Oryctolagus cuniculus: one gene and its partners. The protein of the gene in region 1 purifies or fractionates together with the protein of each later gene. This does not show direct contact. Links are inferred from orthologs where the notes say so. Each region holds a gene or a part of one and is shown on either strand. Other genes may lie near its edges.

The links. Proteins that work in one complex are often made in the same cells at the same time.
Region 2: the proteins of IPO4 (region 1) and ASF1B purify together in Homo sapiens (affinity purification with mass spectrometry; 5 studies listed by BioGRID and IntAct, counting the BioPlex papers as one, with this or other methods). This does not show direct contact. The link is inferred for Oryctolagus cuniculus from reciprocal best matches to the Homo sapiens genes IPO4 and ASF1B.
Region 3: the proteins of IPO4 (region 1) and ASF1A purify together in Homo sapiens (affinity purification with mass spectrometry; 4 studies listed by BioGRID and IntAct, counting the BioPlex papers as one, with this or other methods). This does not show direct contact. The link is inferred for Oryctolagus cuniculus from reciprocal best matches to the Homo sapiens genes IPO4 and ASF1A.

The regions. Positions count from the first base shown.
Region 1 is NC_091443.1:51,019,700-51,024,315, forward strand, and holds the end of IPO4 (importin-4), read left to right. Parts: intron 1-67; coding exon 68-145; intron 146-222; coding exon 223-280; intron 281-370; coding exon 371-476; intron 477-547; coding exon 548-741; intron 742-836; coding exon 837-884; intron 885-1,181; coding exon 1,182-1,307; intron 1,308-1,412; coding exon 1,413-1,621; intron 1,622-1,724; coding exon 1,725-1,857; intron 1,858-1,931; coding exon 1,932-2,036; intron 2,037-2,478; exon of another isoform or gene 2,479-2,536; coding exon 2,537-2,606; intron 2,607-2,700; coding exon 2,701-2,831; 3' UTR 2,832-3,042; downstream 3,043-4,616. Other genes in the region: meiotic recombination protein REC8 homolog, read right to left, coding at 3,138-3,229, 3,323-3,429, 3,501-3,632, 3,751-3,817, 4,067-4,115, 4,221-4,354, 4,448-4,514. UniProt on the Homo sapiens protein: Nuclear transport receptor that mediates nuclear import of proteins, such as histones, RPS3A, TNP2 and VDR. Serves as receptor for nuclear localization signals (NLS) in cargo substrates.
Region 2 is NC_091447.1:62,993,016-62,998,880, forward strand, and holds the start of ASF1B (histone chaperone ASF1B), read right to left. Parts: upstream 3,945-5,865; 5' UTR 3,832-3,944; coding exon 3,723-3,831; intron 1-3,722. UniProt on the Homo sapiens protein: Histone chaperone that facilitates histone deposition and histone exchange and removal during nucleosome assembly and disassembly. Cooperates with chromatin assembly factor 1 (CAF-1) to promote replication-dependent chromatin assembly.
Region 3 is NC_091436.1:51,470,751-51,476,581, forward strand, and holds the start of ASF1A (histone chaperone ASF1A), read right to left. Parts: upstream 3,945-5,831; coding exon 3,836-3,944; intron 1-3,835. UniProt on the Homo sapiens protein: Histone chaperone that facilitates histone deposition and histone exchange and removal during nucleosome assembly and disassembly.

The sequences.
Region 1 (4,616 bases):
GACGTGGGCCCGGTACCGGGCTCTGCTCCGAGTGCCTGCTCACCGCTGCCTCCCCGCCCTACGCCAGGTACAGCGTGGAGAACGCCTTCTTTGATGAGAAGGAGGACGCCTGTGCCGCCCTGGGGGAGATCTCCGTGAACACCAGGTGAGCATGGCCCTCTGGCACCGAAACCCCCGCCCGCGCCCGGGGCCCCTCCCCGACAGCTGTGTGTCTGTCCACAGCGTGGCCTTTCTTCCGTACATGGACAGCGCCTTTGAGGAAGTATTCCGACTGCTGGAGGTGAGTGGGCTGCGGCAGTGGGGTCGGTGCAGAGGCTGGGGGGCCCATGTTGATGGTGCACACAGCGGTGTAACCCACCTCTCGTCCCAGTGTCCTCACCTGAACGTGCGCAAAGCAGCCCACGAGGCTCTGGGCCAGTTCTGCTGTGCGCTGCACAAGGCCTGTCAGAGGTGCCCATCAGAACCCAACACTGCTGGTGAGAACGGGAGGCTGGCGGGTGGGGGCCCTGGGGGAGACACAGGGCCTGACCGCCAGTAATGTCCCCAGCTCTGCAGGCTGCCCTGGCGCGGGTGGTGCCATCCTACATGCAGGCGGTGAGCAGGGAGCAGGAGCGCCAGGTGGTGATGGCTGTGCTGGAGGCCCTGACAGGGGTGCTGCGTGGCTGCGGGGCCCTCACGCTGCAGCCGCCCGGGCGCCTCGCCGAGCTCTGCACCACGCTCAAGGCCGTGCTGCAGAGGAAGGTGAGGCAGGCGGTGCGCTGCGGGGACAGGGCTGGGGCTGCTCAGAGCACTCAGGGCTGGGGAGGGCCTGGCTAAGCGGCTGCCCCTGCCCACAGACAGCCTGTCAGGACCCTGAGGAGGAGGAGGAAGAGGAGGAGGAGCAGGTGAGAACTCCAGGTGGTCCCCCAGGGGCTAGGTGGATGGTGCACTCTGCTTGGCCTGGGGAGCCAGGCTGCTAAAGTGATTGGTGATGGCCAGAGTGACAAAACCCTGACCCCACTCAGCCAGCAGGGCTCCAGGTAAGGAGGGCAGTGGGATGGGCTTGGAGGGGTAGGTGGGAGTGGGGGAGCGGAGGAAGGAGCTGGGCCAGTCCTGCCACTGGGCGGCTGCAGGATCACCTGTGGTCAGTGGCAGGGTGGGGAGACTGGCCTGGAGCTCCAGCCCCTGACCTGGCTCCGCAGGCTGAGTATGACGCCATGTTGCTAGAGCACGCTGGAGAGGCCATCCCTGCCCTGGCAGCCGCGGCGGGGGGAGATGCCTTTGCGCCCTTCTTTGCTGGCTTCTTGCCGTTGCTGCTCTGCAAGACAGTGAGTGCTCCATTCTGGCTTCAAACTGCAGTCCTCCCATGACTACCCCTCCGTGTGTCCCAGTCCCAAGGCTGATCTGCACTCCTCCCCACCCACCCCCGTCAGAAACAGGGCTGCTCGGTGGCCGAGAAGTCCTTTGCCGTCGGGACTCTGGCGGAGTCCATCCAGGGCCTGGGCTCGGCCTCAGCTCAGTTTGTGTCCCGGCTGCTGCCTGTGCTGATGAGCACCGCCCGGGAGGCAGACCCCGAGGTACGGAGCAACGCCATCTTTGGGCTCGGCGTGCTGGCAGAGCACGGGGGCCGCCCTGCTCAGGAGTATCCTTGGCTTGCCGAGCACACATTGAAGGTGTGGGAGTGTCCCCAGGGCTCAGGGATGGGTGAGGTCTGCGTGTGTGCCCATTCCTTGACTATGGATCAGACACTTCCCCAAGCTGCTGGGGCTCCTTTTACCCCTCCTGGCACGGGAGCGACAAGATCGTGTCCGGGACAACATCTGTGGAGCACTCGCCCGCCTGCTGATGGCCAGTCCCACGAGGAAACCAGAGCCTCAGGTAAGGGAGGGGCATCAAGGCCAGGGAGGGACGGGGAGGGCAGGGCAGGTGGCCTGAGGCTTCCGTGTGTCCAGGTGCTGGCTGCCCTGCTGCACGCCCTGCCACTGAAGGAGGACCTGGAGGAGTGGGTCACTATAGGCCACCTCTTCAGCTTCCTGTACCAGAGCAGCCCTGACCAGGTACTCGATGCTGGCGTCTTGGTACTAGGCGCAGGATGACAGTCTCAGTGTCCTTAGCCCTGTCTGGTTTGTCTGTGAGTAGTGGCAGCCTGTTCTGCGGAGGGAGAGGCGATGCTTCCTTCCTCTGAGTGTGTCTCCTTCAGCAGCTCCATTTCTACCCTCTGGTGGAAGCCACAAGTTGAAGCTTTCCTGGGCTGACTTCTAGACAGGGCTCACTGGGCTGCAGTTAGAAAGAGCCCTGGGCACCTCATGTATCTCAGCTCAAAGCACGTAGCTAGATTCGGCCAGATGTCCTGGTGTTGCTGTAGCACGCCTGTGGTACACCTGGAGACCACTGTGCTGGGAACGCCCTTGCTTTTGGAGGGCGGGGCGGGGTGAGATGTGTGACCACAGCGATGCTTAGCCACCTGCCCCATGGCTGCTTCTCTGTTGTTGCCTTTAGTGCCTGTGAGGCAGGCCCCAGCTCAAGCAGCCCTGGGGGACACTGCCTGTCCTTACAGGTCGTAGATGTGGCTCCTGAGCTCTTGCGCATCTGTAGCGTCACTCTGGCGGAAAACAAGATCCCACCAGGTGAGGGTGGCTGGCGAGGGGGTGGCGGGGCTCCAGAGCTTGGGGCAGCCAGGGCTTAGGGGCCTGGACCTCTCCCTCTGCACTGTCCACCCAGACACAAAGGCCGCGCTGCTGCTGCTCCTGACGTTCCTGGCCAAACAGCACATCGACAGCTTCCATACAGCCCTGGGCTCACTGCCAGCTGACAAGGCTCAGGAGCTCCAGGCCCTGCTGGGTTTCAGCTAGACTGCAGGCTGCAGCCAGGCCCGAAAGAACAGAGCCTGCCCAGGACCTAAGGTCACCTCTCAAGCCAGCTCCAGCTTGCACCTTACCAAAGAGTCGATCTCCTTTGAGTCAGCCGGCTTGCTGCCTTACAGGGGTGTCCCTGGAGCTGGATTTGTCACAAGTGGAGTCATGACATCATACCGTAATAAAGGCAGCTTGTTTTCTGCTTGGACAGAGGTATGTGTTCAGAAATGAAGCAGGCAGGGCCCAGTGAGGCAGAATATGGTTTAATGGAGCTAGTTTCCTGGCAGCTTTGTAAAATGGGCGTTACCCTCGGTAGAACCGGGGCCCTGGCTGGATCAGGAGGCGCCCGTACGGCTTCTTCTGTTCCACATGCAGTATCTGCTGCGCTGCGAGCACTGGTCAGGAGGGAGAAGAGGGCAGGCAGGAGTCCCCACATGGCCCTGTGCGGGGGGCTCACCACCCCGTGTGCACACACGGCCAGCACTCACCCAGGAGCAGGTAGAAGACCTGCGCAGCCACCCTGCGGGAGCTGAGCGGGGACACCAGGCTGCTGAAGTCAGGCTCCCGCTTGGCCCTCAGCTCCAGTGCCACTGCCCTGTAGGGATGGAGAAGGGTGAGCAAGGCCCCAGCCTGGCCCTCCCCACGGAGGCGCCCCCACCCCAGCACCTGTGCACAGCCTCCAGGGACAGCAGCTCAGGCTCTGGTGGCAGCTCGGAGGGCATCTCCAAGGGCACCTCTGGGAGCTCCGGCACCACCGGCAACGCCGGGGGCTCTGGCTGTTCCATCTCAGCCCAGGCCCTAGGGAGACATGGGAGTTGAGTGGAGCTGGAAGGCGGCGCTGTGGCTGGGATCAGGGCACGCCCATCCTAGCCGGTGGCTACACTGCAGGCTGGGCCTACACAGCCTGGCTTCTCACCAGCGTTCCTCTGGGGGGATGAGGCTGATCCGCGACTTCTCCTCCTCGGCGGGCTCCAGGGAGAGCTCTGTGGGGGCGGCAGGGGGCCCAGGGGAGTGTGACTGGCACTGAGCAGTCTGCCTTGGGGCACCCAGCCAGACCAGCTGTCTGTGCTGTGTGCTGCCTTGGGAAAAGCTGTGTTCTCTCTTATCAGCGCTTTCCCACAGGCTCGGGAAGCCCCCTCCGGGCGGGAGGACTGGAGAGTGCCCTGCGTTAGTTCACCCCAGTCCCTCACAGCTGGGCCACGGGCGGGCCCAGACCCCTCCCCCGAGCTTACCTGAAGACACCATGAGGGGACCGCTGGGCTCCTGGGCTTCCCTCAGGACCTGGAGACGGGAGGAGGAGAACTCAGACCCCGGCCTCACGAGCGTCCGGGGCCAGTGAGCCTGCAGCGTGCGCTGGGCGGGGGCGGAGGGGTGGGGTGTGGGTACCTCGATCTCACTGACAGCCTCAGCCCTTCTCTCCTCTTCCTCCACCTCCTCGGGCGGCCTTCGCCTGAGCGCTCTTGCGGGGGTCTGGGCACAGCGGGTCCACAAAGCCAGTAGTTCCAGGGGAAGCCGGCCGGCTGATGGGGAAGGGGCAGTGGCGACAGAGCCCTGTCACCAAGAGGGAGGACTCGGTCCTGAAGAGCCCTGCGCCCAACCCCCGCCCTCCTTACGGTACGTCGGGGTCCGGAGCAGCTCCGTGGGGCTTGTGATGGTCCTCTCCGGAGGCTGCACCATGGGCTGCGTGGTGGCAGGAGACAGGAGCCTCAGGAGCAAGCCACGCCTCGGCGCCCCTTCACCTACCTGTCCAGACTACAGCCTGCCTGCCCTGCTCGTGCTAAA
Region 2 (5,865 bases), on another chromosome or scaffold:
GTGAATCAACGGAAAAAAGACCTTTCTCTCTGTCTCTCTCTCTCTTACTGTCTAACTCTGACTGTAAATAAAAAAAAAAAAAAAAATAAATGAAAAAAAAAGAAAAAGAGAGAAAAAAAAAGGTTGAGGAACAGCTGAAACCACTGGGAAAGACAGAAGATGCTGGAGCCGAGGGCGCACAGGTTGAGCTGACAGCAGGGACGTACGCCTGTGACTCCAGGTTGGGCACGGCTGGCCAGCCCTATCTGTGCGTCTCACCAACCATGGAGGAAAACATGTGAGGGCAAAAAACCCCACGTCATTGTTCTCTACACAATACACCTAGTTGCACAGTGTTTTCCCTGTGTTAGGGACTTCAAGGAACTGAGAAGAGATCTGAAGACCGTGCACAGGCTGTGTGTAAATACCACGCCTTACTTATCTGGAAGGCAAATCGAAGGTGGGGGCGGGGGTGGACATCTTCCAACTGCTGGTTCGCTCCACGGATGCTTCACCAGCCAGGGCTGGGCCAGGCTGAGGCCAGGAGCCAGGGGGCCAGGACCCCAAGGGGGCGCCCACATAGGTGCCAGGGGCCCAAGTGCTGCCTCCCAGGCGCACTGGAGTGGAAGCAGAGGAGCCAGGAGTCAGCCCGGCACTGTGACGCCCGGCACTGTGACGCCCGCCCGCGCGCCTGTGCCAGTTTATAAAAGGGACTGAGGACTTGGATGTCCTTGGGGGGTCTAACAGATACAGAAGGCGAAGGTGTGCAAACCTTTGGGGTCAGATATGGAGGGTGGGGAGACCTGGTACAGTGGGTGGGGCTCCTGATTCCACTCCCCGCCTACACGCACCCTGGGAGACAGTGGTGATGGCTCCAGTAATGGGGTCCCTACCACCCACGCGGGCGACCTGGATGCAGCGCCCAGTCCCAGCTGTTGCAGCCATTTGGAGAGTGAACCAACAGATGGGAGACCTCTCCATCTCTCGCTCAAAACAAAACAAAACAAACCAGCACTGGACATGGGATATCAATCACCAATTCAGGGCCAGCACTATGACGTAGCGGGTGAAGCCACCGCCTGCAGTGCTGGCATCCCATATGGTCGCCAGTTTGAGTCCCGGCTGCTCCACTTCCAATCCAGCTCTCTGCTGTGGCCTGGGAAAGCAGTGGAGGATGGTCCAAGTCCTTGGGCCCCTGCACCCACATGGGAGACCAGGAAGAAGCTCCTGGCTCCTGGTTTCAGATCAGCACAGCTCCAGCCGTTGCAGCCATTTGGGGAGTGAAACAGCAGATGGAAGATCTCTCTCTGTCACTCTCCCTCTCTGTAACTCTATCTTTTGAGTAAATGCTGATGGAAGAACTCCCTTCTCTCTGCCTCTGTGCCTTTCAAGTAGAAGAAATCAACCATTAAAAAAAATATAAAAACGCATAAGGGCCAGTGCTGTGGCCTAGCAGGTTGAGGCACTGCCTGCACCACTGGCATCCCACAGGGGCACTGGTTTGAGTTCCAGCTGCTCCACTTCTGATCCGGCTCCCTGCTAATGTACCTGGGATAGCAGCAGCGGATGGCCAAGGGTTTGGGCCCTTGCACCCACGTGGGAGACCTGGATGGAGCTCCTGGCTTTGGCCTGGCTCAACCTTGGCCGTGTGGTCATCTGGGGAGTGAACCAGCAGATGGAAGATCTCTCTGTAGCTCTGCCTTTCAAATAAAATAAGTTCTTAAAAAAATACCTACCAAATACAGGACATAACTGTATACACACAGTCTATCTAACTTCTGAACACGATTAAAGGCACGTCAATTACATTTTGTTCTGATCCCCAATTTTACAGGCTGAACCCCGCACAGGATACACCTCTACTCCGTATGACAACAAATGCAAAGCCAATGCTATGATTAAACACACGTTAAGAAAGTGATGGCCGGTGCTGTGGCACAGTGGGTTAAAGCCCGGGTCTGCAGTGCCGGCATCCCATATGGGTGCAAGTTCGAGTCCCGGCTGTTCCACTTCCGATCCAGCTCTATGCTATGGCCTGGGAAAGCAGTGGAAGATGGCCCAAGTGCTTGGGCCCCGGCACCTGAGTGGGAGACCTGGATGGAGCTCCTGGCTCCTGGCTTTGGATCTGTGAAGCTCCAGCCGTTGCAGCCATCTGGGGAGTGAACCAATGGACAGAAGACCTATCTCTCTCTCTGTAACTCTACTTTTCAAATAAATAATGAAACAAATATTTAAACAAGAAATCATTGTCGTTGAAGAATCTGTTTCCCATTTGTATTTATCTGGGAGTGACAGAGGAGAGAGACAAAGGCAGGCGATGGGGGGGTGGGGGGCAGAAAGAGCAGGATCTTCTACCCGCTGGTCCACTCCCCAAATGCCAACAGCTGGAGGTGGGCCAGGCCACAGCCAGGCGCCTGGAACTCCCCGTGGGTCTCCCGCGTGGGCGGCAGGGGCGCACAACAGCGCGCAGCAGCAGGAAGCTGGGTCGGAAGCTGCGCGTCCAGGACTCCAGCCGAAGCGGCGCTGCGATCCGGTGACCAGGCGGTCCGGAGCCGCAGTCTTCGAGCCGTACTGCCCGTGGCCTTGGCCTCGCGGGGCGCCTGCTGTTTCAGCTCCCTGAGGGGCTCCCCCGCTCCCCGCAAGCACACGCACCCCTGATGTACTCCGTGCGGCCCCTGGGAGTCAGGGGGCCCCCGACTGGGGGCTGGGAGAGGAAGAAGGAACTCAGAGGCGCCCCACACCAGGGTTGCCCAGGCTCCTGTCCCCAGACATCACGGCCCCAGCGACGCCCCGCCCCCCGCCCGGGACGCGCAGGGGGTCAAGGCGGGGGCTTGGCTCCTGGGCCGCAGGGCCCGGGGCGTCGCAGGCACCCACTTCTCAGATAGCGCCTGCTTTTAAAGCAGGCCTACGGCACCCCACCCGCGTCACCTGGGAACTCAGACGAGGGGCCCCTCGCCTCTCCTGCCGGCCTTTAAAGCGAGTCTCAACCCCCGCCAGCTTACACTTTTATTTCCGCCCTGCGTGTCCCAGAGAGCCTCCAGCCGGCTTACTCCACAGTCAGCCACAGGCGGCGGCCGCCCCGCGGGCCACCCCCCTGCCACCCAGCGGCCTCCCCGGCTCCGCCCTGGAGCTGAGCGCTGGGTGCACGCAGGCCTTGGCCCCGGCTGACCCCGGCGTGCGCAGGGCCCGGGGCTCCGGGTGGCTGCTGTGCCCTCCCGTGCGCCACGACCACCACCCCGCCGCGGGCCCCGGGCGCGCCCACCGCCCACCGGACGGCGTCGGGATAGGGAAGCCGCGGGAAGCCGGTCCGGGGCGCGCCCACCGCCCACCCAGGCCCACGGTCGGACCGGGAAGCCTCGGGAGCCGGGACGCCCCTCCACCGCCACCCCGGGGGTCGCAATGACCCCCGGACGCGGTCATTTAAACACTGGGCAGGGCACGGCTGGGGCGGACACGGGGGCGAGGAGGGCGGCAGGGGTGGGGAAGAGGCAGGGGGCGTGGGGGTCTCCGCCGGTGGATGCGCCTCTATCATTAGGAAGCGGTGCCTGGGAGGAGCGCCATTGCAAGAGAGGGGGGTCCTGGGGTTTGGGAGGGGGCGATGGGGGAGCGGGGGGGGCTAAGCGGACGGAGGGAGGGGGCCCCGGGGGGCTTCGGCCTGGCCACGGGGCGGCTCTCCACGGGGAGGTCGGGGTCAGGGTCGGCCCAGGGCTGGGGTGGGGGTCTCCGCACGGGTCCAGCCTCACCGTCCGCCAGGGCCTCACTGCACTCGAAGCTGATCTCGAACCGGAAGGGGCTGTGGAAAGGGCTCGGGTTCTCCAGCACCGACACGTTCAGCACGGACACCTTGGCCATCGTGTCGCCGGGAGCCGGGGTCGGGGGAGCGGGCAGAGGGGCAGCGTCACCGGCGGCCGCTCCCGCCTCCTCTCGCCGCGGACTGCAACGCGCACCGCGTCCGCGCGCCGCCTTCAAATCGCCGGCTCCGCCCTCTAGCCAATCACCGCAAACGCTCCGCGGCGGCGCGAGCGCCCCGTCAGCCAATCCGCGAGCGCCGCTGGCGCGCGCCCGGACTCCTCAAACCAATCCGCGGAGCTCCCTCTCCGCACGCGCGCGAGGGAGGCGGGACCAGCTGTGGGCTTCTCGCGGGGTGGCCGCGGGGAACCAATCCCCAGCGTCTCCGACTCGGATGGCGGGGGCGGGGATGGGCGGAGTCAGAGCCCGGCTCTCGGCCAATCCTGAGGGTTCCCGCACAGGCGGGGCCCGCCCCTTCTCGCAGCTTTTCCGAGAGACGCATCCTTGAGGGAGCAGCACCGCCAACGGCCGAGCGGTGGCGCGCGGCGCTCGCTTAAGAGCGTGGGAAGGGCGGGTACTCGCGGCCGCCGTGATTGGCAGGCAGGAGTGGGGCGGGGATAAAGCAGGCTTTTGGAGACCTAATTGGCTGAGGTGGCTGTGGGGGCGGGAGCAGAGGAAGGCGTGTCTGAGGATTCGCGGGAGAGGAGCGGAAGTCGGGGGCCGGCGCGGTGGAGGAGGCGCGGCGGGGATGCCGGTGCGTGTGTGCAGGTGGGCGTTTCGGGCCGGGGGCTCCGGCTGCTGAGGCCGTGCGCGGCCTGGGGGGTCTGCGGTGAGCGGACGCGGAGTCCCGGCCTGGGGAGTGGCGGTTCGGGTCCCGCTCCCGCCCAGTCAGGGACCGGACGGCTGCGGGGCCAGGGCCTAGGCGATCGTATTTCCAAATGTGTTATGGTGCATCCGAATTCCACCCCGAGCAGAGTTCTTAGCACGATGTTTTCTAGGCGTTTAACTAAACATTTATTTATTCTCACCTTGGTGAATTTTTTTTTTTTTTTTTTTTTTTTGCGCCGTCCGTTCCCGACCCCGGGGAAGGCCGTACCGGGGACTCCGTCTCCGATGCTGGGAGGAAGAGGAGCTGGCTGCGTGATTGTCGCTGAACCCCAGATCCCAGCGCCAAGCCCCAGAGGCGTATCCTGCTTAGCGGGGAACCGAGATCTCTGCAGTGGGCCCCGAGGCCCCGTCTCGCGCCTGTCACCCTCCCCGCCCTGCCCCTGCCCACCCCCGGGCTCCCTCCTGCTGCAGGGCCTTGTGCTCCCTCTGGGGCCGGCGCTGTGGCGCAGTGGGTAAAGCCGCCACCTGAAACACTGGCATCCTATATGGGCGCCGGTTCGAGTCCCGGCTGCCCCACTTCCCATCCAGCTCCCTGCTGTGGCCTGGGAAAGCAGGAGAAGATGGCCCAGGTGCTTGGGCCCCTGCACCCGCGTGGGAGACCCAGAGGAAGCTCCCAGCTCCCAACTTCCAGGCGTTGCAGCCATTTGGGGAGTGAACCAGCGGATGGAAGACCTCTCTCTCTCTGTCTCTCTCTCTCTCTCTGCCTCTCCTCTCTCTGTGTAACTCTGACTTCCAAATAAATAAATATTAAAAAAAAAATCCAGGATTGTGTGCTGTGTTGTACAATTTCACAGAAATGTTGGCAGCCCGGGCCTGACACCAGGCCTGTTTGCAAGGCTGGCCAAGGCTGGCCCTCGGATGGTGTCTTCCCGCCCCCTGAAGGCTGAGGGCCTGAGGCTTTGTGCGAGCTCTGTGGTCTGTGTGGAATGCCTCCTTTCCAGCCGGAGTCTAAAGCTGGGGCTCCCGTGTGGCAGGGGCCCAGGCACCTGGGCCGTCTTCCACTGCTTTCCCAGGCGTATTCACGGGGAGCTGGGTCGGACGTGGAGCAGCCGAGGGCCTGGGGGGACTGTCCCGGCGCCCGGCTGGGATGCCAGCCCCCGCAGGCAATGGCTTCACCCGCTGTGCCGGGGCCGCAAACGCAGCTCTTGCACGTGCAGCTGTGAGGATCAGAACGAGACGAGACGAGATGAAGCGGAATGAGCCATCTGC
Region 3 (5,831 bases), on another chromosome or scaffold:
ATTTGAAGGTTTATTTGTACCACTACATATAATGCTCTTGTACTAATTGGTATGAGTTAAATTGACATTTGTGTCTGGCATAGGAACATGGCTATAATTTGTAAACTTACTTTTATAAAATACCTACTGTGTGCTGCACATTGATCCTGCCACGTCATACCTGTTATTTAAACCTCCACAACTTTATCATATCGTATCATATCATATCATCCCTATTATGCAAACAGAAAACTGAGACTCAGAGTTTAAGTAACCTACCCAGATTTCACAATTTGTACATTAAAGAATCAGGCTCTGTCTCTCCAACTAAAAAAATAAGATAGGGGCCAGTGCTGTAGCGTAGTGGGCTAAGCCTCCACCTGCAGTGCCAGCATCTCTTATGGGTGCTAGTTCTTGTCCTGGCTGCACCTCTTCCCATCCAGCTCTCTGCTATGACCTGGGAAAGCAGAAGATGGCCCAAGAGGTTGGGCCTCTGCACCGGTGTGGGGGGCCTCTGCACCGGTGTGGGGGGCCCCTGCACCGGTGTGGGAGACCCGGAGGAAGTTCCTGGCTCCTGGCTTCAGATTGGCAAAGCTATGGCCATTGGCGGCCATTTGGGGAAGAGAACCAGCAGATGGAAGACCTTTCTGTAATTCTGCCTCACAAATAAATTAATCTTTTTAAAAAATGTAAAGATAAATCTCCCCTTGCTCTCAAATTAGTAATAGAATTAGGGACTTAACTGTAAGGGGAGTGGGAGATAGAGAACAGAGGAATGGGGAAATAATCAAGCCCTAACAAGTACAAGATGCAACTGAAGGAAGGCCTGGACACTGATTTTTAATCTCATGAGAAGTTTGCTTTAGCTACTTTCAAATGTTTGGTGCTTTTTAAAATTAGCATCTTTTTTTTTTTTTTTTAAAGCTTAGTTTTCATTTCCCTGCCTCCTATATTGGAAGGAGGAAGAGATAAGGTCAAAATTTTCCCTAGGCTTTCAGCTGAAGTAGTTTATTCATTTGTTGGAAGTTAACTAATTGTTTCATTTAATCATGATAACCCTTCCCTGAAAGTATCTCCTCATGTGGGGGGAGTGAGAGAAGTTAACAAGGAGATTTTAAGCTAATTACATTCCTTGAGAAGACCTATGGTCTAGTGGGAAGAATGCAGTCTTTGGAATTAGAGTAAGCCTGAAATTTGAAAATATGAAGCACTGTGCTTAATTCTGGTACATTGTAAGAATTTTGCCAACAGTAGCTATAAGTTGGACATATGTAGTAAACTTGAAAGTTTGCTTGAAGGGAGGTCAGTCAAAACTTGTGTAGGCCTGATGACCATCAGATCAAGCACAGGAAAGCTTGTGCTTAAATCTTGACACCTGGTTTTTCAAGGAGGATGTTAGAAACATCCAAATTATCTTAAGAGCAAATACTACAGAAGGCTTTTTATGAAAGCAAAGCTGCAAGGGCAGCTTTTAAAGAAAAGTGGGGAAAAAAATAGTGGCTGAACTCTGGTTTGGGACTTGGATAAACAGCTTATAAAGTGAAAAATTTTCTTAAGAATATTCTGTACTTTAATTTCAGGAAATGATTTTTAATAAAAGAAGTACAATATAAAATTATGGAGCCTATGAAGAGCCATTGCTAACTATTTCCTTAATCCACACAGCCTCTAGGTGGAGTACATAGGCATGGCACCTTTTTGAAAGATTCCTTTGCAGCTTCAGTATGACTCAGCTTAAATTTTTTTTATAAAATACTAAATAAATGCCCATTAATGGTACCCTTGAAGTGTGGGGTACCAGTGGAAGTAGGTGTATTCTTGACATTATTATTGTAAAAAGCTCAATGCGACCGAGCTGGGTTTGGGATACCAATTAAAGATAGAATATAGTTTGGCTACTATGAATGGAAGGTTTCCGCTACCCAATATAAAAGTCCTCTAACAGCATCTTGGTATCTGTCTTGTTCTGGGTTGATCCTAAAATGGAAGGCATCACTTCAGAAGTATCTGTAGTTTGAAGATCTTCTGATGCCTAAAACATTGTAGCATAGGTTCTTATTTGCCTGTTTTCATATGCAATTAGCAGTAAAAAAAAAAAATACTGATTATGGGGACTGGAAAATGGGCCTCCTGGCTGAGATGGTTACATGGTATAGTAGTGCTAAGAGAGAGTAATCAGATGGCTTCAGAATAAGAAAAAATGCCCTTTAATTTGATTATCAATGACCTAGGTAGAGATTAGTTTAATAAGTGAGTCATCTTTCTGACTACACCCTACACATAAAATTTATGTGCACTTATGCTTTACATGTTATTAAAACAGAAAGGCACATATTATAATGTTAAGTTTAGGGAGTGAAATGGAGGAAGGCAATGAGCAGGGACTGTTACTTTATGTCTGCACAACTTTTAAAAGTTTTACAGTGAGCATATATTGTTTTTATAATGAATGTTAATACACCACTAAAATACACTTCAGACTAAAAACTAATTTTTAAAATGAAAATGCTTTACATGATTATCCTAATAATTTTAAATATACTTTGTCAAATACATTTGTAAATTCAAGTATGTCTCCCTATTTAATTGTAAAATTTACACTGATAAAGTTAAATTTTTTTCCCCTCAAATTTTGAAAATGAAGCACTGGACTATTTTAATAAAATCTGAAAAAAGCAAAGCTCAGAAATTACCAAGTTCTGGCTTTCTAAACACTTTATTACTGCACGAATTAAAAACGTTTGTCTATTTTTGAAGACCTTAAGAAATACTAAAAAAATTGCATTTGCCATCAAGATTTTACTTTTTATTTCTTAGCCCACGTTGTGTGATATGTTAGGGTATATTCTGTATTTGAATGTGGAGTTTTAATTAGATTCTTGAATAAAGTCTTCGTTCAGACTATTTAGCAGCATGGTTAAATCTTGGAAAATTTTTTAAGGATCTCATTCATGTTTACTCGGGTTTAAATGTAACTTTCCAGCATAGCAATATTTTCCTCCCTGAGAGAGGAGAGAGGTTTTCGTCAATGAGGAAGAGGAGTCCACGCCGGTCCCGGAGCCTGCGCGCCAGCATCCCCAGGCGCCCCGAGCATCCCCAGCAGGAGAGCCGGGGAGGGCCCGCGGCCCCCGGGGAGCCCGCGGCGCGGAGGGGCCGAGCCTGCGCCCGCCTCCCCTGCTGGTTGGTCGAGGGAGCCAGGAATCAGCGCGAGGACAGCCTCGCTGCCCTCCCCGGTGCGGCTGGGCACGACCAGCCGGCGGAGAGGGGCAACTCGGCCGTGAGCTGCAAACACGGGTTTGCCTCCGGCTGTGGGTGGGGGGGCAGGCAGGTGGGCCGGCGCCGCGCCGCGTCCGTCACCGCCGCGGGGCGCGAGGAGGCGTCGTGACGCCGGGGTCGCCGGCCCAATTCTCAACTCGGGGTAAGATGGCTCCGCTCCGAACTCGCCGGCGCGACCCCACGCGCGCGCGCCTGCCCCTGCCCACCTCCACGCGGCGGCCGGGGGGCGCGGGGGCGGTTCGTACCGCGGAGCCAGCCCGGCGCGACCTCCCGGCCGGCGCCGCGGGCGCGAGTGCGGGTCCCGCGAAACGCCCGCCCGCCAGACAAAGCTGACAACATGGCTACCTCCGCTCGAACAAGTTCCTCGCAAGTTGAGCCGCGGCAGGCGCCTGGGCTGCGGCTGGAAGCCGCGCGCGCCTGGCCGGCCGTCGTCCATCAACTTCAAGTTTCCCTCCGCAGAGCCGAGCCCGCAGCCCGCCGGGCGCCGAGGGCGGCCGCCCCGCGCGAGGCCGGGCCCGGGAAACTTTCAACGTCTGCAGCCCGCAACTGACAGCCCGGGCGGGCGGGCGGCGCGACTCACCTTCAGACAGGTCCTCGATGCACTCGAAGGTGATCTCGAACTGGAACGGGTTGTAGAAAGGAGAAGGGTTATCCAGCACCACTACATTGTTCACCTGAACCTTTGCCATATTTTGAAAAAAACACAAACAATGGGAGCGGGGGCTTGTTGCGGCACAATAAAGTCCAGCCCGCGGCCGCTCGGCAGAGCGCAGACCCCCGCCCCGGCGCCGGCCCGACGTCGTGCAGCGGCGACTTGAGAAACTTTTTTTTTCCTCTTTTTATTTACACGAGAGCACTCCACAGTGTTTTGCAGCTTTCCTATTTCACTAAACTACAGCCCATTCTGCTCTGATAACTAGCAGCGTTGCTCGCGATTGGCTGCACCCGAGCTCTGACCCTCCTCCTCCAGCGAGGGCCTCGGCTGCGAGCAAGATGGGCTCCCGCTCCCGGAATGGACTCGGAAACTTTAACTGCGGCTCCACCTGCTGGTGTGGATTAGGACAAAGGCGGAGAACAAAGTGAGTGGAATACGGGCTGGGAGGCCCGCGCGGAGGCCGCCGCCGGCGGCGGGGGGAGGGGCGCGCAGGCCCCGCCCCCGGCCCGGCGACTCCCGCGCCTCACGTCGGGCGTGGCCGCGGCGGGGACGGGGGGCGTGGCCGCGGCGGGGAGGCGCGAGCGCGGCGACGCCCGCCCCCTGGGTTTGCTGCTGTCTGGTTTTTGGGTGGCGTGGGTTTTTTTTTTTTTTTTTTTTTTTTTTTAAGCACTCCTATACATCAGTGCAAAAGGCTTTGTTGACTCTGCTCAGTTTTATCAGATAAGATGCAGTCGTCTACACCAGGTTAGATTCAGCTGTGAGTTGGGTGGTATTTGGAGTTGAGAAAAGGGTTGGTTGCAGTGGAAATAAATTGCATTTTATAGGCCGATGTCAGCTCGAAAGGAGCAAAGCCATTTTGGAAATCTAGTTCTTGGCTAGTATCTACGCTTGGGCACGACAGCGCCGTTACTTAAGTAGACACAAAATGAAAGGAGAGGAGATGATTTTACACACTTTGCTCGGTAAATTTAAGTGGGTAATCTTGGGCTGCACCTGGTTATCTTCTGCCCATTCCATAGCTCTAGAAAGAAAAAGAAAAATTACAGGAGAGGTGATCAGTTACACCTCAGGCTTGTGTTGTTTGGGGAGCATAGCAGGAACATAAAAGGAGAAAATGGAAGAGTCGGGAAACCAAAAGGGCGGCACAGTAGAGAAGGGAAAAAAACAGGAAGGAATATCACTACTTTTCATCTTCAACAGTTTATGACCTAAGCCGTTGGACATAATTCTTGGCTGGACAGATTCTGAGGTCTGAAATGAGGACATGTGAATAGCTTTATCTGTTTGCCTACCCTTGTGGGGAAATGGGGGAGCTTTTATCATGCTCTTGAGCTTGGAGTCTACTGAGTAAGGGTGGAAAAAGGTTTGTTTCATTCCGTGCAGTTCCTAGCTATTATTTTTTATTTAAGTGTTGAGATTGAAACCCCCAAACGCCCAAATGACTCAATCCAGACTGAAAATTACTTTGTCATTGAGTTATTTCCTAAGTATCATTGATGCTATAAGGGCTTCCTCTCAGCATAGTGCCCAGAATTTTGATTTGTCATTCTTAGCATGGTTCATATTTAAGGTACGTTGCTTATGGTGGGACAGCTTCATCTGATAGTCTTTGGAATGAACTTGGGACAGTTAATATTAGGCCTGCCCACATTCAAGAAAAGTAGTTGGGGGAGAGGAGTCAGATTTTTTTTTTTTTTAATAATTCAGCAGTTAGGTAGAACCTACCGAAAGTTTCTTGAACCCTGTTGTTTCTGTTCATTAAAGTGAAAGTCATTGTGTGGTAACAGACACAGTTTACTACAGGTGATAAAACAGCACTCTTATTAATGTTGGTCTTAATGGTGGCTAGGATAAAATGGAGATTGCTGTATGCACTAAGACATGTTGGATACATGAGATAAAATGACCATTTGAAGATTAG